Linked DNA regions of Drosophila melanogaster. The protein of the gene in region 4 interacts with the protein of the main gene of each other region in a pairwise test. Each region holds a gene or a part of one and is shown on either strand. Other genes may lie near its edges. The genes, in order: CG30344, Sap30, ssx and sordd1.

The links.
Region 1: the proteins of sordd1 (region 4) and CG30344 interact in a two-hybrid assay, tested with the Drosophila melanogaster proteins (one large-scale study listed by BioGRID).
Region 2: the proteins of sordd1 (region 4) and Sap30 interact in a two-hybrid assay, tested with the Drosophila melanogaster proteins (one large-scale study listed by BioGRID).
Region 3: the proteins of sordd1 (region 4) and ssx interact in a two-hybrid assay, tested with the Drosophila melanogaster proteins (one large-scale study listed by BioGRID).

Annotation. Positions count from the first base shown.
Region 1 is NT_033778.4:9,143,625-9,151,330, reverse strand, and holds CG30344 (uncharacterized protein), read right to left. Parts: upstream 6,072-7,706; 5' UTR 5,745-6,071; coding exon 5,540-5,744; intron 5,472-5,539; coding exon 5,359-5,471; intron 4,686-5,358; coding exon 4,535-4,685; intron 4,469-4,534; coding exon 4,285-4,468; intron 4,217-4,284; coding exon 4,030-4,216; intron 3,969-4,029; coding exon 3,833-3,968; intron 3,782-3,832; coding exon 3,455-3,781; intron 3,393-3,454; coding exon 3,236-3,392; intron 3,179-3,235; coding exon 3,115-3,178; 3' UTR 2,819-3,114; downstream 1-2,818. Other genes in the region: CG30345 (uncharacterized protein), read right to left, coding at 27-90, 154-310, 370-696, 760-895, 956-1,142, 1,244-1,427, 1,494-1,644, 2,153-2,265 and 1 more; Prp38 (pre-mRNA processing factor 38), read right to left, coding at 6,211-7,203; shrb (shrub), read left to right, coding at 7,534-7,706.
Region 2 is NC_004354.4:16,785,166-16,792,164, reverse strand, and holds Sap30 (SIN3-associated polypeptide 30), read right to left. Parts: upstream 4,883-6,999; 5' UTR 4,625-4,882; intron 4,481-4,624; 5' UTR 4,216-4,480; coding exon 3,823-4,215; intron 3,599-3,822; coding exon 3,470-3,598; 3' UTR 2,521-3,469; downstream 1-2,520. Other genes in the region: Rrp45, read left to right, coding at 1,035-1,491, 1,652-2,392, 2,448-2,488; CG9609 (uncharacterized protein), read left to right, coding at 5,415-5,600, 5,661-6,686. UniProt on the Drosophila melanogaster protein: Component of the class 1 Sin3A-histone deacetylase (HDAC1/Rpd3) complex (HDAC). Appears to be a non-essential subunit of this complex which is not required for cell cycle regulation of progression through the G2 phase of the cell cycle.
Region 3 is NC_004354.4:1,367,216-1,376,102, reverse strand, and holds ssx (sister-of-Sex-lethal), read right to left. Parts: upstream 5,524-8,887; 5' UTR 5,440-5,523; intron 4,873-5,439; 5' UTR 4,796-4,872; coding exon 4,733-4,795; intron 4,653-4,732; coding exon 4,329-4,652; intron 4,230-4,328; coding exon of another isoform or gene 4,189-4,229; coding exon 4,081-4,188; intron 4,018-4,080; coding exon 3,836-4,017; intron 3,643-3,835; coding exon 3,056-3,642; coding exon of another isoform or gene 2,988-3,055; exon of another isoform or gene 2,946-2,987; coding exon 2,752-2,945; 3' UTR 1,426-2,751; downstream 1-1,425. Other genes in the region: AMPKalpha (AMP-activated protein kinase alpha subunit), read right to left, coding at 1-194; CG14770 (uncharacterized protein), read right to left, coding at 6,050-6,490, 6,729-6,743.
Region 4 is NC_004354.4:15,791,860-15,798,677, forward strand, and holds sordd1 (suppression of retinal degeneration disease 1 upon overexpression 1), read right to left. Parts: upstream 4,170-6,818; 5' UTR 4,143-4,169; exon of another isoform or gene 3,951-4,142; intron 3,717-3,950; exon of another isoform or gene 3,628-3,716; intron 3,558-3,627; exon of another isoform or gene 3,302-3,557; intron 3,243-3,301; 5' UTR 3,204-3,242; coding exon 2,638-3,203; intron 2,575-2,637; coding exon 2,408-2,574; intron 2,343-2,407; coding exon 2,242-2,342; 3' UTR 1,862-2,241; downstream 1-1,861. Other genes in the region: Rhp (rhophilin), read left to right, coding at 1-43, 129-285, 351-598, 659-788, 853-1,178, 1,233-1,385, 1,450-1,653; sordd2 (suppression of retinal degeneration disease 1 upon overexpression 2), read right to left, coding at 5,394-5,512, 5,578-5,744, 5,808-6,373.

The DNA.
Region 1 (7,706 bases), on a different chromosome or scaffold from region 4:
TATGAATGGTTCACAACTATATTGGGTCAACTGCCTATGGCCTGGTAAACGCTGTTGCTGCCCATTGACTTTTGAATGCCGAATACCGCGCTGCAATGGGATATTTACTTAGTGAGCTTCATATAATTTTCGGAACTCAAAAGGAAAACTCACGCCGACATGCAGAAGCACAGGAAGTACAGTCCCACACTGATGAAGTTGAAGATTCCCGGATAGAAGTTAACTGTTGCCTGGTACACGGCCGTATAGAGAGGTGCCGCTCCCAAAGGGGAAATGGACTGCAGGGAAGTAGTTAGCGAGAAGATTTTACCTACGAATGGAACAGGTATTAGAACATATATAGAAGGTCCGTGTTCTCCTCCAACTTACCCAACTCCGAACTGGGAGTCACGTGCGACAGGATGGCCTTGCACATGGGCGACATGACGCCCCGCATCATGCCCACCATGAGGGCCAAGTACATCTCGCTGCCGTATACGGCCGTGGCTCTGACCGTGCTCTCAAGAACACAACAGGCGAAGGCCAGGAGTGTCATCATGATGGTGGACAGTCCCAAAAGGCGGCGCAGTAGGATCATGGCGATGGTACTGCCAACCACTTGAATGACCACCCTCGCCGCGTTAAACACACTGTAGTCCTGGACCGTGTAATCGAACTGCTTCCGCATGAACATGTAGTTCACTGTGGACTCGCCCTCTGGAATGCGACCGACTAGTAAGTTCCTCGTCTGGAGCAAGCATCTATATCAATGTCACTCACCCATGGCAAAAACGCACAGTGTCAGCGACATCATCACAAACCAGATGATAGCACGATCGTAGTTCTCGCGCTTCCTGATGCAGGTCTTTACGAGGACCTTAACCAGGTCCAAACGGAAGAACTCGCGGATTCGGGACTGGGCAATAATTACGTAATTAAGTAACAGTTGACATTTGATTGAGAACATTGTACTTACCCCAGTTTCCAAATCTTCGGACTTCAGACTCTCGGCCACAAAGAAATATACGTATAAGAGCGCAATGGAGATAATCGATCCCACCAAGATAAAGAGTATTGAAGCTCCAGTAGCCGCATAGATATAGCCACTAGCTACTCCGCCAGCCATCATGCCCAGGCCAAGGGCAGCTTCCATGGTCACCATTCTGGGAGAAAAATGGATTAATGAATATAAGATAGTTAGATCAAACGTTCATCGAATTCATTCAATAAGATTCAATCGAAGTAACCTCTTTGAAACGCTCACCTCATGGCCCGCTTATTCTCGGTGGCCACATCGGATACATAGCAGTAGAGGATGGTGATAAGGGCGCAGGTGCCTCCGCTGAACACCGATGGCACAGAGGACAAAAGGAACCACCAGGGACTGATATTGACAGCAGTCGTTATTTGAGTAAGAACAACCAGGATGATTGCGCTGAAAAGGTAGCCTACAAAATAAGACTGATACTTTATAGAGTTCACTAGATCATGAGATTATCATATGGCATTCTCACCTGTAAACGTGGATAGCAGGATGGGCCTTCTGCCGAACTTATCTGACCAGGGTCCCAGGAAGAGGCTTACTATGGCGGGAACGGTGCTCTCGAGCATCGAGCTTATCATTGTGATGGTCGAGGCATACTCCTGAACTTGCCCCTCAATCTTCTGCAAAATGGGAACTCTGTTGATAGGGGATTCTCTAAAGGCCGGCTGATAAGCCCGTCAAGCGGTCGTCACGTTTCCATGACTCACTAGGTGTTTTGGCCGGGCTTAAATATCTGCACACATGCATGTCGAAATATTATTCCCGATTTGTGTACTGTGGTCGATAACTTTTTGTGATAAGACGAGTCATTAGTCATAAACAATTTGGGTTTACTTTTGTTGCGGTCAACTGATAAGCAAAAACAGGTGCGACAAAGGTTCTTCAGTATAAGTTAACTTAAGATACCAGCAATACATAGCTTTCAATCCGCATCTAATGTTAACAAGCATATGGAACGAATCACACTTGAACCCACAAAGGAAAAACAATAAGAATGTATATAAACCGAGAATGGTTTTTTCCCACAACAATGACTTCTAATTGAAATGCAATTATAGAATCACTGAAATCGCATTCATTAAAGTTTATGCATAAAAATACATATACGCCTATTGCTTTTCAACTTGCCTTAACCTCATCGGAGGCACGATCCGTACCGAGAAATGGCTCGCATTCGGTAGCATTGTATTTCATGACCGTGACACAGGTCTGGTAGAGTATCTGGTTCTGGTAAACGGCATCTGATGTAAACAATCTGATTTATAAACGCCCCCACAACACAGTAAACACATACATGTATGTACACACCTGTTAGGAATCTGCCAAAGAAAACCAGAAACACGGCGGGCTCTAAAATAAGCGAGCGGGGTCGTTTTAGCCAGCTAGAGAATGTCCTATTGCTGGGTGGCGGCGACCGCACTTCGATGTCCAGCGGTTCATCATCAGCGCCAATAATTGGCTCCTCATCATCTCTCGGCATTTTGTGGTTCAGTAAAGGTCGCGGTGATCGCAGCAATTATCGTGTAGACAAAGGAATTAACGATTCATTCAGCCAAGCAATATATCGTAGCGGGAACTGAGTTAAACATCTGTGCGCGCCGAACTCGAGTGATAGACTAACTGGAGGGAGCAGCTGAAATAGACGACGTAAACAAACAAAGCAAGCGATTGCCAATTTGAGCAAACCAAAGCGTTTGCTGCGCCCTATCTGCGCACGAACGCTCGAGCGGCTCCCTCTCGAGAAACCTCACATCGCGACACACAATTCCCATTCGATTTATGCTCAAAGATATTGAATGCTCGATGTATTCACACTTTATTGTCACACTGCAAACAGTTAAATCTTTTGTTCTTAACTTTACAATGCTTGCACATGCAAAACACAGTCCAAATAGCAGATATAGTATATATATACATATACACTGATCAAAATCATAATAATACTTGCAAAAATATACAAGGAGTACAAACACTAGATTAATTTACACAAATAGTTTCTAATCTTTTAAAACGAGAGCTCTTCGCAGCGCCTGCAGAAGGAATTTAACTTATGAGATACATTCAGCTAAATCGGTGCTCTGGAGAGTTTGTTAGCTGCCAATGGCCTGGTAGACACTGCTACTACCCATCGACTTCTGGATGCCGAAGATCACGCTGTATTGAAAAGTATTCGCTTTAAACTGGACTTGAACTGTGCTTGGTAGGACTTACGCTATCAGAATGTAACACACAAAGTAGAGAGCGGCGCTAATAAAGTTGAAAGCTCCGGGATAATTTTCCAAAGTTGCCTTGTAGACGGTTGTGTACAGAGGTGCAGCGCCCAGTGGCGAAACCGATTCCATGGAGGTGGTCAGAGCAAAGATCTTGCCTAAATTATTTCATATGGTTTTAGTTAATGGTATTTGCAGGCTAAACACTTTGGGTACGTACCAACTTCAGTCGCGGGTGCAACGTGCGAGAGAATCGCGCGGCACATAGGTCCCATGACGCCACGCATCATACCCAGCGTCATGCCCAGATACAGCTCTTGCCAGTAGACTGCTGTGGCTCGAACCGTGCTCTCCAGAACACAGCAAGCCAGGGAGAGCATTGCCATGGTTACGATAGACATCTTTAGAACGCGGCGCAATACCAACATGCCAACGATGCTGCCCACAATCTGGATCACGATGCGGGATGCGTTGAATAGACTGAAGTCCTTAATGGTCCAGTTGAATTTATCCTGCACGAACATGTAATTTACAGTGCTCTCTCCCTCTGAAATCATTATAAATTAACTCATATAATCTTAAGTTTGAATTATGTTACCCATGTCGAAAATGGCTATCGTAAGGGCAATCATTGTAAGCCAGATGATTGTGCGATCAAAGTTGGGGCGCCTCTTAAAGCAGGTGCGAATCAGGTCCGTGACCAAATCGAAACGGAAGAACTCACGGACTCGCGACTAAAAATGAGGGAAGGAGTGTTGAGATATTCGTTTCTTCTTAGCTATAGAAATTACTTACTCCGGTGTGAATGTCACCTGGATTTAGGCTTTCAGGTACAAACAGAAGCACGTACATCAAGGCAAACATCATCAGGCTACCAGCAATGGAAAACAACACCAGAGCATTTGTGGCAGCATAGATATAACCGCTGGCCACATTGCCCACCATTATGCCAGCACAGAGGGAGGCTTCATTGAGGACCATTCTTTCAAATAATATATCAAAATGAAATGGCATTCTTTGGATTAATAAATCAAGACTACCCATACTCACCTCAGAGCCTTCTTTCGCTCCTTGGCCACATCGGATATGTAGCAATAGATTCCAGTAATCAAGGCGCAAGTTCCGCCGCTTACGACGGAAGGAACCGAGGAAAGGAGGAACCACCATGGACTTATATTCGTGGACCTCGTTATGTAAGTGATTACTATCAGTATGAGTGCGCCAGTGAGGTAGCCTTTAAATACAATAAGAGTCATTTGTACAAGATGCAATTAAGATGTCCTGACTGATGATTATATACCCGTAAAAGTTGTCAGCAGGATTGGCCGCCTTCCGAACTTGTCGGACCAGGGACCCAGGAACAGACTCGCGAAGGCAGGAATAATGCTCTCTAGCAGAGAGGTTGTCATCATAATATTTGCAGAATACGTCTGTACTATCACCTCGACTTCCTGAAAAAACAGAAGTTCACTTTAGTAAACTGCACAACTGTACAACTGTGGATGAGTCAATGTGCCATATCTCGTACGTATAATTATAATTTTAACGCTTTCCTAGTAAATACTTCGATACTGCTTCGAAATGCAGTAACAAAGGATTTTGCTTACTTCTATTCCGGCCGTTGATAAGCCTCGACTGGCGTTCTAATTACCTTATCTCTAGCCTCCAAACAATGGCAGTTTTGCATTAGGTTGAGACGATTTGCTAATTTGATTTTACTTTGTCACGTCGGATGCTGATATAGTAAGATATACTAAGTAGGTCACGTCTTGGAAGAATATCGGCGAGCCAAATGCGAAATACATTGTTCTATACAGCAAAGGTCATAATAGTAGCAATTACTCGTAAAACAAGTTAATATTGTGATACATTAATTGTGGTTTTAAAATTGTTCAGCAGTTTTTGTAACTTAAACTTCAGTTTTTGTTTACAGTTACTGGATAAATTTGTTTAAAATTGCCATTTTCCTCATCGCCATAAAATCACAACACGAAACGCCCAGCAAAGCAGCAAAAATAATTTGCACAGAGATAAAAACCAGGCAACGAGAACAGAAACTACACAAAGTACAGATATCAAATTGTACATGATGTGTATACTATAAGGGTCAAATTAAATACTTACTTTATCCGCGTCCGATCCGCGATCAATGCCCAGCAGCGGTTCACATTGCGTGGCATTGAATTTCTCGATGGTGATGCAGGTTTGGTAGAGAATTTGGTTCTGATAAACCGCCCCTAAAACGCACACAAAGTTAATTCAATGATGCAATCCAATCGGTTTTACTGCCCTATAGCCATTATACCAATTAAATTTCTGGCGAAGAAGATTAAAAAAACTGCGGGCTCCAGGATGAACCAGCGATAGCTGCTGTAGTCATGAGGCGGCGGTACCGGAGGCGGGTCCACCTGCTCACTGCTGGCCGCAGATGATGCGTCCAGTATGCGTGGTGCCGAATCTTCGCCAGTCTCCACATCGGCCACCAAAGCCTCCGTATCAGAGCGAGGCATACTGCCGTTCCGTTCCGTTCCTACTTGCTCGCTATCGAGAACGGAACTCGTGGATGCGTCTGGCTTACACCAGTCTACCGGAGATAATGGAATTTACAATTCATTCACCAGAACGCTGCGCAGTTCCCTGAAAGTCTTCCAAACGCGACGGAGAGTTTTCAGATACTAAAGCTTCAGCTGCTTTACTGCTGATTAACGTGGATTTATTGTTGCTTAAATCCCTGGTACGTGTATTATTTTCACAAGTACAGCTGGCTGGATTCTCCCGCAGTTAACGTTACTCTATTCGAAACTTTCTAAATGCAAGCAGCAACAGCTGATTGACTTCTTCTTCTTCTGTGTTATTGTTTTGATTTCGATTTTCGATTCTTAGTGCTAGGGATGCCAACTTGCGGCGAATTGAGAGTTTGTGGTTTAAATTTTCTGACACTTTTTACTGGTTAATTAATTCAATTTATTTATAATTTTAGTAGCGTCGTCGGTCACGCTCTCCTCGCGAGTCCCGTTCCCGCTGGTCGTGACGGCCACGGTCACGTTCTCGCTCTCGTTCCCTATCCCGGCGATCTCTGTCGCCGTCCCTCTCGCGCTCCCTGATACTGTCGCGATCTTGGCGCTCTCGTTCGCGATCGTGGCGTCCATTGTTTTGCCGACGGTCATAGTCCTCGTTGTGGGTGTCCCGATTGCGCACCCTATTTCGCTGGCGGTCGTAGTCTTCCAGTTCGTCGTAGTAATCCCGGGAACGGGCGCTGTTGCCCTGCCCAGATCTTCGCTCGCGCTCCCGACTGCGGGACCTTGACTTGGAGCGAACTCTCCGTGGTCGTCTCACTGCTGTCGAATTCTCCTTAGGCCGGTTGGTCTCGTCTGCCTTCTCCTCGTCGCTGGGCAGTTCGTCGTCCAAGTCCTCATCCAGCACTGACACCTTGGGCTCGATTTCGTTGTTTTCCTCGAGAATGGAGCGCTTCTGGATGCGGGGCAGTATAATGTCGCAGACACGGTCGTTGCGCAGCAGTTCGTCAATGTACTCATCCATGTAGACAATCTCGAACTGGCCGGCGCGATTCTGGCGGCGCAGCTTTCGATTGTCTATGTACAACGGCTCCAGGTACTTGTAGCAGTCCAGGGCAGCTCCTGTGAGCCGTAGATAGAAGGCTCCCAATGCTCGAACGTACTTGAACTCCTCGTTCTTGATAAACTCCACTACGATGTCCTTTTCCGGCTGAATCTGCAGCATCTTGAGTGTGAGGCAGAGGAACTGGGTGGGCTTGATGTTGCCGCCGTAGACGCCTCCGACGAATCGCAGCTCCATTGCCTTGTCCACCAGAAGCTCCGCAGTGAGAGCAAAGCATTGCTCCTTCCAGTACTTAGAGTCGTATATCCTCGAACGGATGATCTTCTCGATGAGGTACTGCGGATTGGTGCCGTGCACGTTTTTGGCCTCCTTCACCGTGCGGTTGGCCATTTTCAGTTGAACCCTTGTTCCTTGTCAATCGTAACTCAAATAGGACTTTTCAATCCAGAAATTCGGGTATCTATTGGCAGCAGTGCAAAATGTGAAAATGCACCGAATATATTTATTTATTTTTCGGCGTTTGCTAACCAGAGTGGCCAGCTGCGTAAGGGAGAAATATGCCACTCCGCCAAGCGCATACACAAAGGCGATAACGATAGGGGACGGCAATCGGTATCGGGTGACGCATACGAACAACAGCTCCCAGACAACCAAGAAACGCAATAGCAGAAAAAAACTCACTTGTTCGCTAAATTCGGGTGAAAAAACAGATCAGCCAGGATGAGTTTCTTCGGGAAGATGTTCGGCGGCAAGAAGGAAGTGGCCCCCACCACCGGCGAGGCGATACAGAAGCTGCGCGAGACGGAGAACATGCTTATCAAAAAGCAGGAGTTCCTGGAGGCCAAGATCGAGGACGAACTGAATATAGCCCGCAAGAATGCGTCTAAAAACAA
Region 2 (6,999 bases), 990 kb from region 4:
AAAGAACGACACTCAGCGACGGCGTTGCTAGATCTGGAAAAACTGTCGAGCCACCGCTGCTGGCATTCTAGTTCGATTTTCAATCCGGTAGCAGGTTCTGATCCTGGTGAACCAGTCACTTATTTTTTACTTTTTAAAATTAAAGATAATACAAATAAAAATTCCAACTAATGCCTGGTGTAAAATTATTGAATTAAATATGAAGTGTTGCATTTTATTTTGGAACTAATTTATCTATAGGCTCCTAGGCTTACAAAATTGTTTTGATGTGGCGAACCAGTCACGAATCACTATGTTCCTAAAATATTTTAGATTGTTATTTAAAAATAATAGAAATCATTATTACAAACTATATTTTGTGCTTGAAACTGTAATTTTATGATACTAAAATACTCTTCTTTATATGTTGCGTTTTGGAACATAAAAACTATATAACGTTTATGTTTTTTATGTTGTAGTCTTTGTATACTTAATATTGATAATCCAATCTGGCTGGCGTACATATATATATATATATATATATATATATAATTTGTGAACCAGTAAAAAATTCATAAAAATAATGTTGCCATCTGTTAAACGTTAAACAATTTGCACACATATGTATATATATCGCCAATACTATTGAAGAACTTGAATTAGTGCATTACTTTCATAGTTATTGCCTAAGTTGTATGCCAAATAAGCTGTATAGGCATTTGAATAATTATTTTTTAGATAGCCAACGACCTAAAAAAAAATATTTATTTGTGCAAAATTTAAACTCTAGTTTAAATATACCTAAATGTTTATGGCGCTAAAAGCCACCTTGTAGTGCACCATAAAATCGTCTTCTTATTACACATAACTAAAAAAATGTCTAAATATTTATTATGCGTTTTAATGGTTCCAGTTCCGTGGAACCAGTTCCGGATCAGCATGTATGTGGATCGCAGTGGCAACGCCGCGCTCTGCACGTTTTTAAAAGCCGGCCAAATTCAGTCCCAAACGAATTCAAAACAAATCGAAAGGATCCTTCCCAGCGAATACCCAGGATGTTCCATAACTCAAATTTTTTCGAGCCGGGCAAATCGAAGCCAGAGCGAAGCTTCGTCCAATTGGCGGTGAAGCAAAACCAACGCCTCGATGGGCGGCGCTCCAACGAGTCCCGCGATGTGGAGCTGACCTTCGGCAAGGATTGGGGCTCCGTGGCGGTGTCCATGGGCGATACGAAGGTACTGGCCCAAGTGACCTGCGAAATGGGACCGCCGGCCTTGTCGCGGCCCAACGAAGGCAAAATCCACCTGAACGTATATCTTGGCGGTGTTGCTTTTCTGGACGAGGCGCATACCACACATGACCAGCGATCGCTAAAACTGAACTCCCTGCTCGAGAGGACCTTCCGCAGCTCTAGAAGCATCGATCTGGAATCTCTGTGCGTGGCCGTCGAGAAGCATGTGTGGTGCATCCGTGTCAACGTCAATGTGCTCAATCACGACGGGAATCTGTATGGTAAAAGCACCAATCTCAAGATGAAAAGCGTGATTACCTCACAAATGATCAAAAGCTATCAGTTGGAGCCATACTTTGGCCATACTTTCATTTTTAAAGAATAATCTTCATATTAGTTTTATATTTTTATATATCTATATATCTCAATTCTTTCTTATAGACGCCAGCACCATAGCCACTTTGGCTGCATTGATGCACTTCCGTCGACCGGATGTCTGGTATAAGGACGGCGAACTGCGCATCTTTAAGAAAAAGGAGCGCGAATTCATTCCACTGCTTTTCCACCACTATCCCGTCAGTGTAACCTACTGTGTTTACAAGAGCAGTGTGCAACCAATACTGGATCCTACGCTGCTGGAGGAGAACGCCGCCGATTCGGTAATTGTCCTGAGCTTTAACTCCTTCCAGGAGCTGTGCAGCCTGACTGCCGGAGGCACTGCACCCACAAATGCCCGCATCATCATGCAGTGTGCCCGCAATGCGGCGGTTCGTTGCAAGTCTCTGTTGAATTTCGTACGCAAAGCTTTGGCGCTGGACGAAGAGTGTCGATCGCAGGGCGATCAATCGGTCGATGGGCTGGTGGCACTGATTTTAAATACGGAGCACAAGTTGAGCTACAACAAACTGATGGGCAGACAGAAACAGGAGCAGCAACCTCCGCCAAGCGAGAAAATGCAGTTGGATAATAACGAGAGCAGTGAGACGCCTGTGGCCAACGAAGAGCCGTCCAAAGAGGAAAGTGCTGGCGCACCGATGGACACCAGCGACTGGCTGCCACACGATGAGGACTCCCAGGAACTGCCCATGCGCTCGGAAGCAAGCCCATCGAAGGCAGGCCTTAAAGGCAAACAAAGTCGCGGCAAATACAAGGCGAACAAAAAGACACCGCCGAGGAAGCAAAGTAAGTTGGCAATCATGGCTGGAGTCCCATTAATAACGCATTGATTCTTCTCCAGATCACAGCGACTCCGAGGAGGAAGCCAAGCGATACATCTAGCCGTTGTGATAGTCGTGTAGTTAAGAGAAAATGCTTTCTATTAAGTTTTATTTAGGCTTATATGTATGGCTAAAATCAGTCTAGGCTTTAACATAAATCGTTTAATGCGTAATTCCAATTGATTTGTGGAACCGATGTTCGTCTAAGTTAGGCTTAAACTAGAGCTCTAAATATATCTCCAAACCGCCGGGGCAAACGACACGATGTTTTAGTTTAAATATTGCAAATTATTTCGTTCGTTATTTCTCTGTTTGTAGCGATAATTGGTATTGGCTTCCGGATTCAATTTGCTTTCACATTGAAGTCTAATTGTGTTTTGATTCGCTTAAAGTATCTGGTTACTACTAACTGATGTCTAGCCAGAGCCCCACTTCACTTAACATGATGTATAATACAAACGATCAAATAAACATGTCTTTAAGCCTAAGAATACGAATTGCTATTTGATTGAGTGTGTTGTGTTTTCTGTTAATTCTCTTGTAAATTTACATAGTTTATTTAATGTAGTGCGTGTATAAAGAGCTATTAACAACGGACCAAGGCTACAAATAGTTTTTGTAAATTTCTTTTTTAATATTAGACTCACTTTCGCAACATACTAGTTTATTTATTTTTAATTTTTGTTTGTTTTGTTTTTCGTGGGAGCACCAGTTGCCTTCTTCCTTACGTTCTTTCATTGCTGTTTTACTTTTCGCATATTACTTGTGTTCCGGGGAGTCGGGGGAAAGGCTTAAGGGTTTGGGCAGTGGTGGCTTATGGGTATAGGATTGGGTTTCTTGGGGGTCACACGGATGAGGATGAGCCATTGCACTATCAATATTCTCGTTCATCCCTATTCTGGTCAACAATGCCGACGTCCAGCAAATGCAGCAACAATGTGAGAAGTTTGGTTGTTAATTTCTTTTGATCGGCAGTTGGCCAGCGTTAAAAGGAGTAGACGTCGTCGGCGTCCTCCTCCTCCCTCCGCCCGCCGACGCGCCTTCAGGTGGTGTCGTTGCCAAGGCCGTTCTTCTGGTCCAGCTTATTCGAGCCCATCTTCACCATGTACACGAAGAATGTGATGATCTCCTTCTCCTTGATGGGTATTGTCTTGAAGTGTTTCATAATTGTCTGCGGGAGAAGAGTAGAGGTTTGCAACTTGATTAAAACAGGGTTTAGAAAACCTTATAAAGGGCATGGCACATTTTTCTGCCTTTTCTTTAGAGTGGAGGCTACTACAAGAGGGCCAACTATGGAGCATCACGGAGCACATTAGACCAGCGTGTTACCCCACTGAAATCCGGCAACAGAAAGTGGACATAGCCTGCTCAATTCGTTAACTAGGTCAAACTTACATCCGCCAGCTGCGCCCGCTTCATGCCCTGCCTCGTTTGGACCTTGAAGTGGCGCTTGTAGCGTCGCAGCGTGCTCACGCCCAGCTGGTAGAGATCGGGGAACTCGTGCAGGTCCGTGTCCGTCTCGTTGCTGTCGTCCTCGCTGTCCTTGCGCCGACGCTTGGTGCGCACCGACTGGATGCGCTCCTTGTGGTGGTCACAGATGTAAATGTGCTGCGCGGCCGGATCGCTGCTGAGCTTGAGCCGCTTTTGGGCCACCGTCTTCTGGATGCGCTTGGAGTAGCTGGCGTAGCCAGCCTGGTTGCGACACCGCTCCATGTCGTCGATTAGGCAGCACGTTTGGTCCGTGTGCCCGCGACTGTCCTCCTCGCCGGTGCTGAATCCGTTGTTCATCCTGTTCCCGATCCTGGCCGATTGCTTTCGAGTTCCTATCCAATCCCCCTTCCTGCTCTGCTTGCTGCTTCTCTGATTTTCTCCGTTTCGCTCCTTTGTCTCCTCTTTCGTCTTTCTCACTTTCGACTATTGCTTTGCTTTGTTTCTCTTTGCAAGAAAAAAATTTTCTTTCGACAGCGCGATGTGACCAAACTGGGAAATGGGGAAATTCCTCCGCAGCTGGCAAGAGCGGACAATTTGAAACTGTTTGCAGTTTCTCAAATATCTTAAATATCAAGTGCATTTTTTTCCAGATTATCGATCAATATTTTTTAATTGGTATTAATAATCGCACAAAATATTAATTAAATAAATATTAGTTAATTTCAGTACTTAAATTTAAAAATACCGTGTACCAAAATATAGTTACCTTTTCCAGCATTGATTCCAATTCCGATAGGTACCGCACACCGGTACGATAGTTGAGCCAATTACCGTTTTTGTCATCACTAGCTCACGTTAGTGCAATGAAATTTGAATTTCCTTTTTCTCAGGCGTATCTGACTGCTTGTCTATATAGAATATTATTATACTCGTCTTCAGACCAATTCTTGATTGTAGTTTCTGAGACGGGGGACTAACAAGCATATATTTGTTAAATGCATCGACGCAAGGAATTTTCACCGTAGTGAGTTGGAGAATTAAACAGAATCATTCAAAAAGACTGGGAAAAGGAATACGCAGAATTTTCTGCAAATAAACAACGGGGTTACTGCAAACTTTTCCCAGGCACATTAAAAAAAATCTTAGCTATAACGTATGTGACAATTATATTTTGAATAAATGAATAATAATGTGACCAATGTAACGTTTTCGATAACGTATCGTACATCTTATTCAGTTGTTGCAGTACAACACTGCTAGGCAGCAATTTCCAGCCCTGGAAAAATACCAAAAAATCTACCATCTCTCCAAAAACGAAATCATAAACGCTTACCAGGGACATCATCGATTTTCTACACCAAATTAAAAGAAACCTATAAGTTATAGATTTGCTACACCAAATTGAAATAAAATCAATCTCTTCAACCTTAAGTCCTTGGCTATTTCCACGTACACGAGTGTGGCCAAATAATTCCACGACATTTGCGGATGTCGCGGTAACCTAAAACACAAAAAAAAAAGAGATTGCAATATTTCGGAGATAAAAACCCTCAAAAATGCCGCCTGGAACGCAAATTGCCAGCGACAGCGATATGGAGACCGCTCTGGAGGAGTTCAAGCAGCGCCAGGGACGCCGCAACAGCATCGGCTCGGCCAAGTACGCGTGCAGCATGCCCAAATGCGAGGCCACATTCAAGCGGCTGGACCAATTGGATCGCCATGAGTATCATCACACAGGGATTGTGAGTATAGTTAGAGTATGTTAAGTGTAAGCCAGTAGTAACGCCGCCACCACTTTGCAGAAGAAGCACGCCTGCTCGTACGAGGGTTGCGACAAGACGTACTCGATTGTGACGCACTTAAAGAGGCATCTGCGCAGCACCCACGAGCGTCCGGAGTCGGCGGCCAAGAAGACGGTGAAGTGCGCGCTGGAGGAGTGCAGCAAGATGTTCATCTCGGTTAGCAACATGACCCGCCACATGCGCGAAACCCACGAGAGCCCAAAGGTCTATCCGTGCAGCCAGTGCAGTGCCAAATTCTCGCAAAAGCTCAAGCTGAAGCGCCACGAGATCAGGGAGCACACGCTGGAGTATCCGTACAGCTGCTCGAAGTGCTCGCGCGGCTTCTACCAGCAGTGGCAGTGCCAGAGTCACGAGCCCAGCTGCAAGCTGTACGAGTGTCCCGGCTGCCCGCTGCAGTTCGACAAATGGACGTTGTATACGAAGCATTGTCGCGACTCGTTGCACGGCAAGAATCGCCATAAGTGCGACCGCTGCGATAGTGCCTTCGACAAGCCGAGCGAACTGAAGCGTCACCTCGAGGTGAAGCACAAGGAGGCGGCGCAGACGGATGAGTGCGCCACCTCCTTCACCTGCAACGAGGAGGGATGCGGCAAGAGTTACTCGTACCTCAGGAATCTACGCCAGCACATGCTCACCGCCCACTCGGGCAGGCGTTTCGAGTGCCAGGCCTTGGACTGCGGCCGCTGTTTCAGCAGTGCGCAGAATCTGGCGAGACATCTGCTCAGGGATCACAAAGATGGTGCGACGAAAAAGGAATTGAAAGCCAAGAAGAAGGACAAGAGTAAGACTGGAGAAGGGGGCAAAACTAAGTCCACATCCCGCAAGCGACGACGCGATGCTGGACGCAGCAAACATTCGAGGCTATCCAAACTGGCCTGCCTGCAATTGGACAAGGAAGATGATGAGGCGGTGCGCGAGCGACAGCCTTTGGTCCTCGAAAAGATCACCCAGTCGCTGAAGGATGACCCCGTCGAGGAGCTGCTGGCACAGACCCTGCAGGATGAAGAGGAAAAGGAGCAGGAGTAGAGCAAAAGGCCATTCAAAGGGACGGGAGTGAGAAGGTCTGGTCAAGAGGCTAACAATTGAATGACTACTTTAATTTAAACCACAACTTCTAAAAGAGAAACAACTAATTTATCAGTAAATACTTAGGATTTGCGTTCAGAAACATCCGAAATTGCATTAATTTGCATAAATTAGTAAGCTATTATTAGTAGTATTCGCCTGGAGCGAATTAGTTTATTTACTTTAAGCTTACAGTTGCAAACATTCCCTGACTTCAACTAGAGTTCCGAAACTCTCGGGCATCCAGAGAGAAAACCAATAATATCCATTGTGT
Region 3 (8,887 bases), about 14 Mb from region 4:
TTGATCTTCTGACGATTGAGTATCTTGACGGCCACCTTGACGCGTGTGATCTGGTGCTCGCCGATCTTCACCTTGCCGAAGGTTCCCGTTCCCAGGGTTGCGCCCAGTAGGTAGTGCCCAATCTTGACCAGCGGCTGGCCATTGGCGCTGCCGGCGGCCACCGCCTCAGCGGCCGCAGCCCTCATCTGGGGCATCTCGAGCAGGTAGCTCCTTGTTGGACTGGGGGTGCTCCACTGCTCCGCTGCGGATGGGCGCGGAGAGGGGAGCGGTGGTAAGGTCGTTATCGGTTATTGCGTAGTGTACTCCGCTGAATCAACAGAATAGAATAGAATAGAGCAGCCACTCACGTTACGTTCTTCCTGCCAGCCGTGCCACCTCGCCCGGATACGGATTCGGATGTCAAAGTGGTTGTGGATGTGTCAAGGGCGGTTGAATTGATACTGATTTCCTGGATTTCTATTCGAGCGCGGCAACGAGACTCTCCTTTACGCTTGGGTTTTCTTCGCGTTTTGCTTATTTAATTGACATTGGAAGGCGCTGCCACTTCCAACAACACTGCCTTCCAACAACACTCGTTCCAGCAGCTGATTCGCGCCCTCTCTTTCTCTCTCTCTCTCGCCTTCCAGTGGCTATCGATAAGTGGCGGCCAGTGATGCCAGGTAGTTCCGCAGTGGCGCGCAATTTAAAACCATCTTGCCACTTATGCTGAATTTATAAAAAGCAATATTAATGGCTTTACTCAACCACATTTGAAATAGTTAAGCTCGCAAAAAAACTAGTAGGTGTGCGTTGTCGAAACTCTCTGATGTCCAATTGAAAGGGAAAAGATGCCCGTTTTGTGATTTAAATACACATTTATTACACCAAGTTGATTTTTTGGATCCACTCCACGCGCATAGAAGGTCAGAAAGATACCTCTTTTGTGCAACGTTAAGTGTAGATCAACATTCAATATAGATTATCAAGAATACTGTCCTAAAATTCTCAAAGATGTATGGTAAAATTCAGTTTGTTCACAAATATGCGTGTATATGTCAAGCTTTGTATTTTTCTTTTTTAGTTTCTGTAGTAAAAGGCTGCCACAGCTTCTTGTTTTCACCTGTCAAATAGAACCGCTTAATGACTAGTATATAATGTTCGTGTAAATGCGTTTTTACGACGATCAGGATTCAGCTAAGCGAAAATTGAACATTTTAACTATTTATTTGCTTAGCCTAACATCAATTTACAACAATAGTATATCGTCAACTTAAGCTCTGATCCGCACTGTACTGTGCTGACTGTACCTCAAATCTGTATCATCTCTCTCGCTCTCTTTCGCTGAGGCTGCATCGCACCATCTCGCTCGCAGACTCAAGAATTCAATTTGTGTTCGTTTATTATAAACTTTAGGATTTAAGGTTTAAATACATGTATTTCTTTCGTGCTTTAAGTTTATTCTGAAAAAAAAGTCACCTTAACTATGATATTGCTACGAGACTAGGATTTACGTTTAGAGATTATCAATACTAAAAAAAAAAAATTTCGGACCTCTGGGTCTCACGGGTATGCTGGTTGGAAAATTTCAAGTTTATTTCATATTCAGCCATCTTCTTGTCGGGTTTCTGTTGGAAGTTTACCCGAAGTTCGGGTATTTATACATCATTCATATATATTATCTAATATATAGGTGTTTGTATAGTGTGGTGTTCTTGTTCTTGGTTTGTTGGTAGTACATCAATAATTTATTTATAATGTAGTAAAAAGCAAGTGACGCGAACGAACCCTCGCTGTCGACGTTCCTTATAAGTCTACAAATTAACCATCTATTCAGAGCAAGCGTCTTCTGTCTGTTGTCATAAGGTTCGTCTCTCTATATATCCGTGTGTGTAACGTCCGTCTCACAGTGTCCGGCCGGAATAGTCGCCACATCTTGGGGCTTTGCATCCGTGCAGTTACTCAATTCATTTACAATTCGCAATCCACCAAGAGCGAAGATTGTTTCGTGAACTGGAGATGAGTGCAGGAAAGTTATATTTGAGTTTTGGTTGCGTTCTCGTCTCGTCTTGAGTGGCTGATGGTTTGCGTTTGGGGCTTTGTATGTTGCTCATACAAACTCATTGGAATTTTTTCTTATGTGGTTCGATCAAGGATTCGACTCCGACCGTCTTTATGTGTGTGTGTGTGTGTGTTGTTGGGGATTGTGTAGGCTGGTTAACTTTGGAACATTATTTCGTACATCTTAATACACGCTATGCATCTTTAATTTGCTCTGCTTAATTCTGTGATAGTGTTCTTGTGGTACTGCCTATGTCTGCCGTGCACCTTTGCTTTGCCTCTTGCTGCCAATGCTTGGATTTGCTATTCCTGGCCAGTGTGGTTTCGGGTTATATCGTATGGTCTCAACCAATCCTGGCTCTCTGATATGGATATACATATATGGATAGCAAGATACATACATACACATAGAGAGCGAGAGAGTTGGCTACTATTGGATATCGCTTCTGGGTAATATCTCCTCTTCCCTCCTCCGATTGCACTCAATCTATTTCTACTCGCTTCTACCATGTGGCCACCGCCTCCGCCGCCTCCGTCTGCACTCACTTTAAGCTTGTGGACTGGCTCTGTTCATGGTAACAGGAAGAGAGACCGGAACCGTGACATATACCGGAACATACACGGCCAAAACAGCTGGGTAGGCCGAAAGTGACGCAGCTGGCGAGGAGATGGAAACAACTGATGGATGGGCGGGGGCTGGAAAGTAGAGCGGCACTAGGTAGTCGGAGTGGGAACGGGATCTGCCACCGAATGCGCAATATATCTGATGGTTGTTCTGGAGGCTTGCGGGCGGCGGCTTAAACGGAATCTGCTGTTCTTGTTGGGGCTGTGGCAAATGCCATTGCCTACGGGATGCGGCTGGCTGGGGAATCGGCTGCAAATCGGCAATGGCAGCATGAACACTTCACCTGTGAGATGCAGCTAATATCGTGTAAAGAAATTAATGGCGTTTAAATAAATTTCTGTGCATGGTTATATGGATGCGGTTTTTGAGATCGTGTTGTTCTATTTGATCTACCTCTGTGCGCCATGTGGTGGAAGTTACCACCACCGCCTCCACCGCCGCCGCCACCACCACCACCGCCGCCTCCGTGAATGGGCATGCCCATGCCCATGCCCATTCCCATGTTTACGCCCATGCCCATGTTCATGCCCATCGGGTGCATTTGCTGCATGTGGTGCGGATGCGGGCCGCCCATGTTGTGGTGGTTGTTGTTGTTGTTGTTATGATGGTGGTTGTTGGGGTGATTGTTGTTGTGGTTGTTGGGATGGTGGTGCTGCATGTGGTGCAGCTGCGGATGGTGCTGCGGATGCTGGTGTGGATGCTGCGGCTGATGATGATGCGGCGGCATATGCGGATTGTGGTGGTTGTTGTGATGGTGATTATTGTGGTGATGAGGTGGGTGCATCGGTCCACCTGGGCCCATGTGGGGCGGACCACCGCCTCCGCCACCATTGCCACCTCCGATCTGGGCCATAAACTGGGCCGCCTTGGCCTTGCCGTGTTCCTCGGCGAGTCGTACCCAGATTGGCTGGGATCCGCCCTCCGGCACCGTGTTGTTCAGCGCCTTGATCGCCTCTTGAGCTTCCTCGCGCTTATTGTAACTGCAAGCAAGAAAGCGGGTTTCAAAAGCAGAATCGAAGTAAGTGCAGTTCAGCCACCAGTCGAACTCATGATAAATTTGGACGTGGATTTCTGTGAGCATACAATTAAGTGGGGCACACTGGACGGGAATTGAGCACCGTGACCTAATTTCGAATCGTGGATGCTGCACACGCAGATCGCACCCGTACTCACCGCACAAAAGCAACGCCGCGCGGTCGTCCAGTGAGCTTATCCCGCAGGATGTTTCGCTGAACAATCAGGCCATAGGGCGAGAAGATGCGGTCGAGCATGTCGTCGTTGATGTTTCGCGACAGGTTGATGACGTACAAATTCGTATCCTTAATGGACTGCCCACCCGGTCGAGCATACGACACCTGAGGGAGACGAAAAAGAGAGTCACAAAGGAGTCATGGGAATTCCGGGGGATTCTAACGCACCTTTAATCGCTTGTTGCGCACATAGAAGCCATTTAGCTTCTGGATGGCGTCCTCCGAGTCCGACTCCGTTTTGTAGTCCACGAAGCCGTAGCCGAAGCTATATCCGGTCTGTTCCGTTGGCGGGCATACAAAGCAGAGGGGAGTGTAAGCTGCATTCGTGTGTACATGCAACGTGCGACAGGGATGGCACCTGTTACGTGCAGTTCAGCAGGTATTCTGGGCGCTCAGGCGGCCACAACCGAACTTACCTTGAAGTCGCGCATTATCTTGCAGGTGTTGATGGGCCCGCAGCCGCTAAAGAGGTTGTACAGTTCGCGGTCGGTCATGTCCTGTGGCAAGTAATTGATGATCAGATTGGTGGCGCTGGTTCGGTCCACTTGCTGCATTTGCTGCTGTTGGCCTGCGGAGTTATCGTTGCCCTCGTTGTCCTGGCTGTGGTGTTGCTCCTCGTCGCCAGAGTGCTCCTGGCCGTCGCCACCGTTGCCGCCATCTCCATTCTCCTGCTGCATGTTGCCGTTGCTGTCGTCGTCATCGTCGGTGCCGTCATCACGGCCCACATTGTCGCCGGATCCCTGCACCGAAGCAGCGAATAGTCGGGAATATACGCGTGAAAACAGGTTCGTCGGCTCGCTAAGAGAATCCAAAAACTCACCTCTATGTCGGAGGACTGCTCGTCGTCGTGCTCCTGGTCCTGCATCTTATCCGCGTTGGACATGACCTTCTGTGTCAAGCCTTGATAGCTCCTGTTTGTCTGGGTTTCTTGCGTGTTTGCGTCGCAGTTGGCGCCACGAGCTGCAACGATACAAGAGAGTGCAAATCAATTAGTTCGCCAAGAAGAAGTTCAAGAGGGATTCCGATTAGGAGTCGCAGTAGGGACGAGCGATGCTCCTTGTTGCGCGGCTGCAGGATGCAGATTGAGCGCAGCTCCACACTCGGGACTCCGGAACTGCACTTCCTCTCGGCAAAATCAGAATCCGAATATGTGTGTGTACATCTCGGCAGCCGAGCCAAGGGGGAGGAGCCGGACGGAGGGCGCCAGCTTTGCTGGAATGCGGTTGCACTCGGTAGCCTGCCACTGCCCGCCCCTGGTCTTTTTAGGGGTCCGTACCAGGGAGTCCCAATAGCAACTCCGGCGCTACCCGCAATACTTGGAAAAAGCTGCTGGAAAAGTAACTACCAACACTCGCGCACTCGCCCATACACGCACGCACACATACACACGGCAGGCGATGCGTCCGTGTTTTTTGGCTTGGGGCCGTGCAGCCGAAAAAAGCAACACGAAAAAGCGTAGGCAGCACGGAGTCCTCGGGAAGCAGCCAGCGGCGGCCACGGAATACTCTGCAGGTGCAAAATACTCACTTTTTAGCAAACTTCTTCACAAACTGCACCGGAAAGCAGCGAGTTTTGTGCACTTCTTGCGTTTCCAAACGATATACAATGGAAGTCAATTCTTCTTCGATAGCGGTGCGATTTGTATCGGAACCTATCGGGGCCAGCAGTTCTTTGATAGTTCGATAACTCATGCCGTCCGCCTCTGGAAGGCATCAAGTGTTTTAAACCATTTTTTGTCTAATTGCCATTGTTAAGATTATTATTGAATTTCTTCAGTACTTTATAGCAGTTATGCCAAAAACAATTTTTCGCCAGGGTTGAACCTAAAAATATACCAGAACACAGAAATACCACAAGCGGTCGTGGTGCGATAAATTGCCTGCGCGTTCAATTATTGATAGATCGTTATCGAAGTTCACCTGAGCAGTTAAATACACTGTGAAAGAAGTTGTGGCAAATTCAGAGTGGAGCAATCAAAAAAGTTTAAGCAATATAATATAAGATCTCTTGATTTGGGTGGTACTCTATACTCTAGGTCAACGCTTTATTAACACAAGAAAATTAACGTAGCAAATCCTTAAACGCTAACGAAATCCCCACAGCTCATTTGGCATTTCCGATTCTGGTAGTCCAAGTCCTACTCGTGGTGCGAGTAGTGCTCGTAGTGCTCCGAGTGGTGCACCGGCTCCTCGTAGTGGCCGTGCTCGTGGTGCGACTCGCTGTGGTTTTCGAGCACCAGTCCGTGGTTGTGGTTGTGCTCACTCTTCGGGTGCAGGATCTTCAGCTTCTGCTTGGTGCCGCCGATCTCGATAGGCTTTTTCACCAGGTGCTGGTCCTCCTTCTTGATGTAGACGGGCACGGCATGGTAGTGGTGGAACTTGACGCTCTGGTGCGAGGTGGCGTGCTTGTGGTCCACCTCGTGGTGCAGCTCCGTCTCCTCGTGCTCCGGCTCGTACTTCACATGGTGCTCCGGCTCGTGGTGCTCATGATGGTCGTGGTGCTCGTACTCCTCGTGCCCCTGGTGGTAGTCGTGGATCTTCAGAGCTCCACTAACGGCCAGAAGGGCCAGGCAGGTAATCTGCAGGAATGGGTAATATAGTCAATGCGGTATTCCATTTTAAACTAAAAATCTAATGTTAAATATATTTCCAAGTTGTTAATGAGGTGGTGAGGTTGAAAAACAGAACATGCATTCCATTTTCCATTCCGAAATATTCAGAAATATTTGGTTCTTGTTTTTCATAAACTATCTTATTGACTTGAAAACGTTCATTCCATTAAACGAATCTATGTTTGTAAAGTGTTTCGGTGCTTACAGCCAACTTGAGCATGGTTTTCTGGTTGCTTTTGAATCACACACTGGGGCACAATCAAAAAAAATATTCGAAACTGTAGACCGTTACGCGAAGTGCTCCTCTTGGCAGTGGCGAACTGAATGTGGCTCTGCGTTCGGGACCAGATTCGATTTATACCCGGTTTGGGCCAATCCCACCAACGCTGGCCAACCTGTAGCTGGAGTTGTGGCAAGCGAAATGTGAAATGTGCAACACCAGCAACAATGGCAACACACGGCAACGAACTTCAGTCTGTTGTTGTAATTTATGACCGCTGCCTGCCACAATTGTTTGGAAAATTTGGAAAATAGGTGCGTGCGATAGTGGTTCAATTAAAGCGGATTACGTATACGGCATGTGGCCTTTGCTGCGGCGGCGGCCAGTTTCCTGCGCAGGAGAAACCGAAACCCGTTGTCAATCAACGGGTTAACAACCACCCAGTTGAAAAACCAGTTGACGTTGAAAAATTCGATGCAAGTGCAAGGCAATTAGACGGTCAAAGATAGGCAAATAGAAAAAATCACAAAACGGAAAGAGAGGCCCAATGTAATCAATTTTGCCCACGTGAAAGATCCTTCTGAATTCCAAGGACAAGCACTAATGATCGGGCAGTAAACACCATCTATAGGCTAATTGCAATTCTATTAGTTTATCACCATTGCCAATCGTTTTCCCAATCCCAACGATAGCCACCGATAGACAACTTCCCGATTGCTCGCGACAGTTCACTCATGGGCCAATCCCTGATGATTGATGATTAATGATGAATGGATTAATGATGGATTGAGATGAAGAGAAGGGATTTTCGCAATCCCCACTGCAAGCTGCAAGTGTCGGGTGAAAGGTGCGTCCACTTCGATCGATAAACGAACGAAGTGAGCAATTAAAATGCAGCACATTACCATTAGATAATGACTTCGGCGGCGGGTTAACGACTCCACTTGGGAAGCTCGCGAATTGCATAGCCCAAACCCATTTCGTTCCGAATGCCAAAATACCACTTGAAGCGATTTAGTGGGTTAGTGTGCTCTGGGCGGGCACGAAATGGCGGCTGTGTGCACATATAATCGATTTGAAAAGTAAAAGTAAACTGCTTTCCCAGTCGCACGATTTGCATAACAGCCACAACGCCACCACGCCGCCAGTCTGCAGTCTGCCGAGTCCATGTCCAACATGCACCCGACATGTCGAGCAGTTTTAATTATCAATCCGGCGATAAATCTCCTTATATAACTCCATAAATTGACAGGAAGTGCTGCTTACCAAGTCTGTGAAGTAAAAATTAAAGGAATAGCGTAACTGGTTCGGGAATCCAGTAAAAGGCTTGTTTCCTAGTCCCCCATCATTATTCTATGCTTAGATCCTACTCCCAAGAACCGAGCACCCAGCTTAATTTATCATTTTTAATTTAGGATACGCAGTCACCGACTATCTCTCTTCGAGTGCGGACGTCTGTGTCTTTCCAATTGTGTGAGCTTTGCTTATCGCGTAATTACCATCGCCGTTACATTGATATTTATCATCTTATCTTCTTGATCTTCTTATCAACGCGTACGTGCAAATCAAAAACATTCAATATCCATAAATTTATTAACCATGGCCCCCGGGCCACTCAATTTGGGGGATAATCGCTTTGCCAGTCTCAGCGCTAGCCCCAAAGCTAAGAAAAAAAGACCCTTTCAAAAATTACAAGTTGATTTCCCAGACCTCCCTGAAACGCAGTGCAAAAATCCGAGATATTTAGTGGTCTCATCAAAAAACTCTCCGAAAACCATATCCGACTACAACTGCTTTGCTGTCCATAGAGCCCTTAAGTATATCAGCAAAGACATTACATCTATCTCTAATCTTCGGGATGGTAACCTTCTCTTGCTGGTTAACTCCAGGGAAATTAGTGACAAATTTATCAAAGTGACTTCTTTACCTGGCTTATGCGATATCGAGTGCAAGCTCCACAACACTCTTAACTTTGTCAAAGGCACCATTTACGCTCCCTGTCTTATTAACATTCCAGAAAACGAAATTGTTGAGGAACTAAAATCACAAAATGTACACAGCGTATTTAAATTTACCAAAATGATCGACGGCACCCCCAAACCTTTTGGAAAAGTTCTCGTAACATTCGACCGTTTCACTCTTCC
Region 4 (6,818 bases):
ATGCCTCTTTGAGAAGCTTCAGCTGCAGATCGAGGCGATGAGCGTGAGTTTCCGTCAGCATATATAGTATATAGTATATAGTATATAGTATGTAGTTACATAATTTTACCATCTATATAACCATACAGCACGATTGCCAGGCGTTTCGGGATCTGGCTGGCGAGGCTGCTCAAATATCGCACGAGTACAATGAGATGCACAAGAATATCCAGGCGAACGATACGCACACCTATCTTCCGGAATGCTGGGCCGGTCTAGTGCCAGTCAAGGCGGAACTCTACAAAGGTAGAATTGGTTATCACCTCGAAATGGGAATATTCATTCTAAAGTATGATTGTAAACGCCAACAGCATTCGCACATTTCTACAAGGCACGGAGCATAGATGCGACAGACGAGCTGAAGGCATCAAAGTCAAGTCAAAAGAACCAAGAATCCTTCATCGGCAATTCCCAGGAGGTGGAGCGCATCACCACAGCCGATTATGGAGCCAGCGATGAGGCGTCCACCTCCATTGCCAACAAACTGGCCCACTTAAAGGAGGCGCTGGCCAGTATCGAGGAAGCCCAGCGATTGCAGCGGATGTGTCGGTTCTTGAAGGTAAATATACTTCTTATATCCTATAGCCTAATAACCTAACCTTTAACTTTAATCTTTAAGAACAAGGCATCACTGACTGAAGTCATGAAGGAGGTGCACTCCAAATCGCAGGAGGAGCTCGAGAAGTTCAGACTGCAAGCTTCAGCCAAAAATATCGAAGATGGCGATCTTCTAGAGCGATCGGTAGAAGGTACATATATCATACTCAAGATAAGCCGATGTCTTCATGTACATACATGCATCCATATCCTCAGCATCTTCGAAGTTCACGTTATCCCTGACCGGACCCGACTTCACATCGCACAAGGTTAAGGATCCCTTCAAGCGCCTCGGCCCGATTGCAATATTCTCGGCGAGACGCCACTGGACAGCGCCCAGATGTGTGCGTCTCCAGAAAGGTTCCTCCCTGTATCACAGCGTGCCCAGCAATGACAACAAGTGCCCATTGGATAACGATGATGACGAGGAGCACGATGGTGGATACAATCTGTACAAGGAGGAGTTTGAGAACTTTGGCTTCCATGTGCGCGGCGATGCTCCGGTGATCATTGCCCACGTTGAGATTAATTCTTTGGCAGACGTAAGTAAATGCTACTTCCATCGATTCGTCGTATACTGTAGGCATTATTTTCAGCTTGGCGGCATCAAGGAGGGAGACTTCATAGTCGAGATAGCCGGCGTGGACGTGAAGTGGTACTCCCATCAGCAGGTGGTGCAGCTCATACAATCCTGCGGCTCTACACTCGAGCTGAGAGTGATAACGCCCATGGATCGCAACTACTTGAAGGTGCATTTTGTTTATTAATCATACGTAAAAAATCAGCAAACAAATTCACCTTGTTTACGCACAGCCATTGTCGTCGAAGGGCTCATTATCAACGCTATCGGCGGCCAGTTCATCGGGCATTTCATCCGGATTTCCCAGTCCCACAAGTATTGCGGCCAAGCCCAAGCTCCACCTGAAAACATCCTCTAGTTCGCGACCCGCTGGCAGCGTTTCATCCAGTTCGTGGAATCCGTTTCGGCGAACGCCTAGCTTAGCTAAAATATTTTAAGTAGCCATCAGTTTTATTTTGTGTTTTATTTTTTTGCTCTTAAGGCAATGGCCATTTCAAGTTAAAAAGAATGTTGTGCAGTTTAAGTTAAGCAATAAACTTAATGATTTTTTAAAAGCCCCTCTATTATACCCATAATTTATTTTATTCCTATTGATTCAATCGCTCCCAATCACCCATCGATAATAATCTACACGGAAAATGAATTGAAATAAATGTTTTTAATGTTTTATCGAATTTAAAATATATATTTATACAATTTTTGACATCTACATTTGAATTAAATCATTACGATCCAATGATTTCGAAATTTCAGTTTTTTATGCTGGAGTCGTAGGGTATCGCGGACTTTTTGAAATAGTTTGGGATCCAATCCACTTCTGTTTTGCGAATCCTCAAATTACAATTATAACCGAATGCTAACAATTTATGTTAATTAATCACACCAACGACTATTGCCCAACGAGTTTAAGAATATTGTTGATTTAACTGGAGGATACTGCTATATGATTACTTCGCACGCTTTCCATACACATTTGAACATAGGTTCTTCTTATCGGGGTGATGTCTTTATGCGTTCGCAGATTGCTATGCATAGAACAGCCACAATATCCACACAACGGCCAAATACGAAAACAGCTTGGACAGGGTCTGTTCATCCTCGTATTGCCTTGTTCCCCGATTAGCAGCTAAATACATGGGCAAATGTTATTTAATATCAATCTCAGAACTATTGAGATGGCATGTAACCTACCAGGTGGACGTGGTTCGCCAAAGTTGAGCGTAGATGTTATGAACCCGAAAGGAAAAGCTCCAATACCGAAAGACATGTGAAATCCGTCGCCGAATCCGAATCCAGGGAACCCGGGAACAGGATCTGGTTCTGTACGTTGTCCAGCGGGGCGTGGTGGAACTTTGTTACTGCAAAACACATATAAGTTGGGTTATTGAAAAATACTCATGTTGAAAGCGGTTCAAACCTACCGTGGATCTTCCTGGTGTGTACTATTTCTTCCGTACAGCGGTATGACCTTATCCTTATCAACGGCAGCCTTACAAACGGGACAGAGTTTGCGATTGGGACGCGTCAGGAGCCACTGATGCAGGCACGGCCAGCAGAACAGATGGCCGCACATGCTGACCACAGCATCCTTGGCGGTGTCCAGGCATATGTTGCACTCGTAGAGTGAGTCGTCTGCGGTATGTTCCTTCTCCTTGTCCTTTTCGTTGGCTTTTGTGTCCGTATCGGTGCCGCCGAATGGATAGCCACCCTTCAGATCGGCCTTATTGCCACCAGATAGATAGTCTCCAGTAAAGGAATACGAAGTGTTGGACTTCTTCAGTTCCGATGCCGTCGAATTGGTTGGAATCGAGGTACCCAGCGGGCGCAATTGACTTGTAGATGACTCCTCAGCCAAGGGTTCTGTGATATCCCGAGTCCAGGCTATCTTGTCGTAGCTCACGTTGTTGGACAAAGTCGATGAGGACGACGATGCCCCGGTTGATGTGCTGGGAAGCTCCGCTGTGGGTACACTTTTCGGTTCCTCCATGGTTTGCCCAAGATGCGGGTAAAGTTTTAGTCGTTCAAGCTGCAACGTAACGTTGGATGATTTAGAAACCCAAATTTGCTAAGTAAGTCTGTGTTCACCCTATTGACAAGTGCCTAGATTGCTTAGATGATTTTCCTAGGCCATTTCTGGTGTACAACTAAGGTCCGCACTTTCTTGAATATGACTTAATTTAATTAAATACTTCAAGCGCAGTTTGAAGGGGGTTTCCCCCGAGTTCCGCAGCATTCAGCATTTGTCCGACCCCATGGGGTGGTGTTTATGGCTACGAAAACCGCCCAAAGGGCGTATTTACCACCAAGTCTTCAAGGATAATGCACCGAACATTCCCATTGGCTGCACCCACATAAATTAAACAAAAAAGTCAAATTTTGTTTGAATTGCGTTGGCAAACAAGACGGTATACCTGCATATGTACCTGGACTTATGTGCGTACTTATGTACACATCTACACACTCAAACACTCGCGTGTATATAGGGCTAGAAGGTTTCCATCTACCTGTTACATATGTACATTGGAACCGATTATATGCTTATTTATACAGTACGTATAGATGTCAAAGATGTCACATGATGTTTTCATGGAGCACTTCCTATTGGAGTCAAGGGGAATTATATGCTCATATACATCGAGTTCCAGGGATTGCGTTTAAACGCATTATAACTTAATTAAACTATATATAACTTCCTGGGGCACAGCAAATAGTATAACTTCTCGAAATTACATACATTGTAAGTGTATTGTTTGCAAAACCTGACTTGTTTGCCCTCATTTTATTGTTTGTTTTCGCTCACAGTTTGCTTCTACTTGCCGTGCTAAGTATTGTTAAACCGAATCAGAGAATGTTGCTAAATTGATTGTGTGGACAAGTGTGTTATGTTACGGTAAAATTGGGAATTTATCAATTGACGTCTTAGCACCTCAAAACAACTGCACTGACGATACCTGACCGAGGCCGATAGACCTTTACCCTATCGGTAAATAGCTGCCTGTATAACAGCCCGTCTCCACCGGACCAAAGTCCACGCTCGCGTTCGATAACTATCGAGTTAGGTGAAAAATCTCGGATCTCAATGAATCCTTTGAAAAGTGATCAGTGATCAGTCCTCGATTGATTTGTAAACAAAATAAACTACTAAATACATTTACAAGACTAAATACTATTCATAAGCAGCTGTTGTGTGCCATGGACAATCGATAGCAGGACTCACTCGACTATCTCTAGTTCCTAACGATCTGGTCACAACAAAGGTCAAGAATTCAATAATTTTATTGATATTAGACTAAACCAAAACAAGGAACAGCTGATTTGTACAACGCTAATGCATCTATAAACGTTTAAGTCGTAATCGATAGCTCACCCACTGTGCAGAAATCACGTGACCATCCCTAATTAGAACTGGCTTCTTTCAAAACAAAGCAAACGAAATTTAAAACTTTTTCAATTTATATGTTCCATTGGTGACTCTGGTTGCAGTGAGCTTCTTGGCACGGAGCAGAATCCTTTATCGGCAATTCCCAGGAGGTGGAGCGCATCACCACAGCCAATTATGGAGCCAGTGATGAGGCGTCCCCCTCCATTGCCAACAAACTGGCCCACTTAAAGGAGGCGATCTTCTAGAGCGATCGGTAGAAGGTACATATATCATACATCTCATACTCAAGATAAGCCGATATCTTCATGTACATACATGCATCCATATCCTCAGCATCTTCGAAATTCACGTTATCCCTGATCCCTAAAAAGAATGTTGTGCAGTTTAAGTTAAGCAAAAACTTAATGATTTTTTTCACCCATCGATAATAATCTACACGGAAAATAAATTAAAATAAATGTTTTTAATGTTTTATAGAATTTAAAATATAAATTTATACAATTTTTGAAATCTACATTTGAATTAAATCATTACGATCCAATTATTTCGAAATTTCAGTTTTTTATGCTGAAGTCGTAGGGTATTGCAGACTTTTTGAAATAATTTGGGACCCAATCCACTTCTGTTTTGCGAATCCTCAAATTACAATTATAACCGAATGCTAACAATTTATGTTAATTAATCACACCAACGACTATAGCCCAACGAGTTTAACAATATTGTTGATTTAACTGGAGGATACTGCTATTTGATTACTTCGCACGCTTTCCATTGACATTTGAATATAGGTTCTTCTTATCGGGATGATCCGTGCACTATTGGAACGAGCAGCCCATATATCACAAAAACGACAAAATGCCAGAACAGTTTTGACAGGGCCCAGGGTTCATCTTCGTGTAGCCTTCTAATATCAGCTAAATACATGGGCAAATGTTATTTAATGTCAATCTCAGAACTATTGAGATGGCATGTAACCTACCAGGTGGACGTGGTTCGAAAAAGTTGAGCCTAGATGTTATGAACCCGAAAGGAAAAGCTCCAATACCGAAAGACATGTGAAATCCGTCGCCGAATCCGAATCCAGGGAACCCGGGAACAGGATCTGGTTCTGTACGTTGTCCAGCGGGGCGTGGTGGAACTTTGTTACTGCAAAACACATATAAGTTGGGTTATTGAAAAATACTCATGTTGAAAGCGGTTCAAACCTACCGTGGATCTTCCTGGTGTGTACTATTTCTTCCGTACAGCGGTATGACCTTATCCTTATCAACGGCAGCCTTACAAACGGGACAGAGTTTGCGATTGGGACGCGTCAGGAGCCACTGATGCAGGCACGGCCAGCAGAACAGATGGCCGCACATGCTGACCACAGCATCCTTGGCGGTGTCCAGGCATATGTTGCACTCGTAGAGTGAGTCGTCTGCGGTATGTTCCTTCTCCTTGTCCTTTTCGTTGGCTTTTGTGTCCGTATCGGTGCCGCCGAATGGATAGCCACCCTTCAGATCGGCCTTATTGCCACCAGATAGATAGTCTCCAGTAAAGGAATACGAAGTGTTGGACTTCTTCAGTTCCGATGCCGTCGAATTGGTTGGAATCGAGGTACCCAGCGGGCGCAATTGACTTGTAGATGACTCCTCAGCCAAGGGTTCTGTGATATCCCGAGTCCAGGCTATCTTGTCGTAGCTCACGTTGTTGGACAAAGTCGATGAGGACGACGATGCCCCGGTTGATGTGCTGGGAAGCTCCGCTGTGGATACACTTTTCGGTTCCTCCATGGTTTGCCCAAGATGCGGGTAAAGTTTTAGTCGTTCAAGCTGCAACGTAACGTTGGATGATTTAGAAACCCAAATTTGCTAAGTAAGTCTGTGTTCACCCTATTGACAAGTGCCTAGATTGCTTAGATGATTTTCCTAGGCCATTTCTGGTGTACAACTAAGGTCCGCACTTTCTTGAATATGACTTAATTTAATTAAATACTTCAAGCGCAGTTTGAAGGGGGTTTCCCCCGAGTTCCGCAGCATTCAGCATTTGTCCGACCCCATGGGGTGGTGTTTATGGCTACGAAAACCGCCCAAAGGGCGTATTTACCACCAAGTCTTCAAGGATAATGCACCGAACATTCCCATTGGCTGCACCCACATAAATTAAACAAAAAAGTCAAATTTTGTTTGAATTGCGTTGGCAAACAAGACGGTATACCTGCATATGTACCTGGACTTA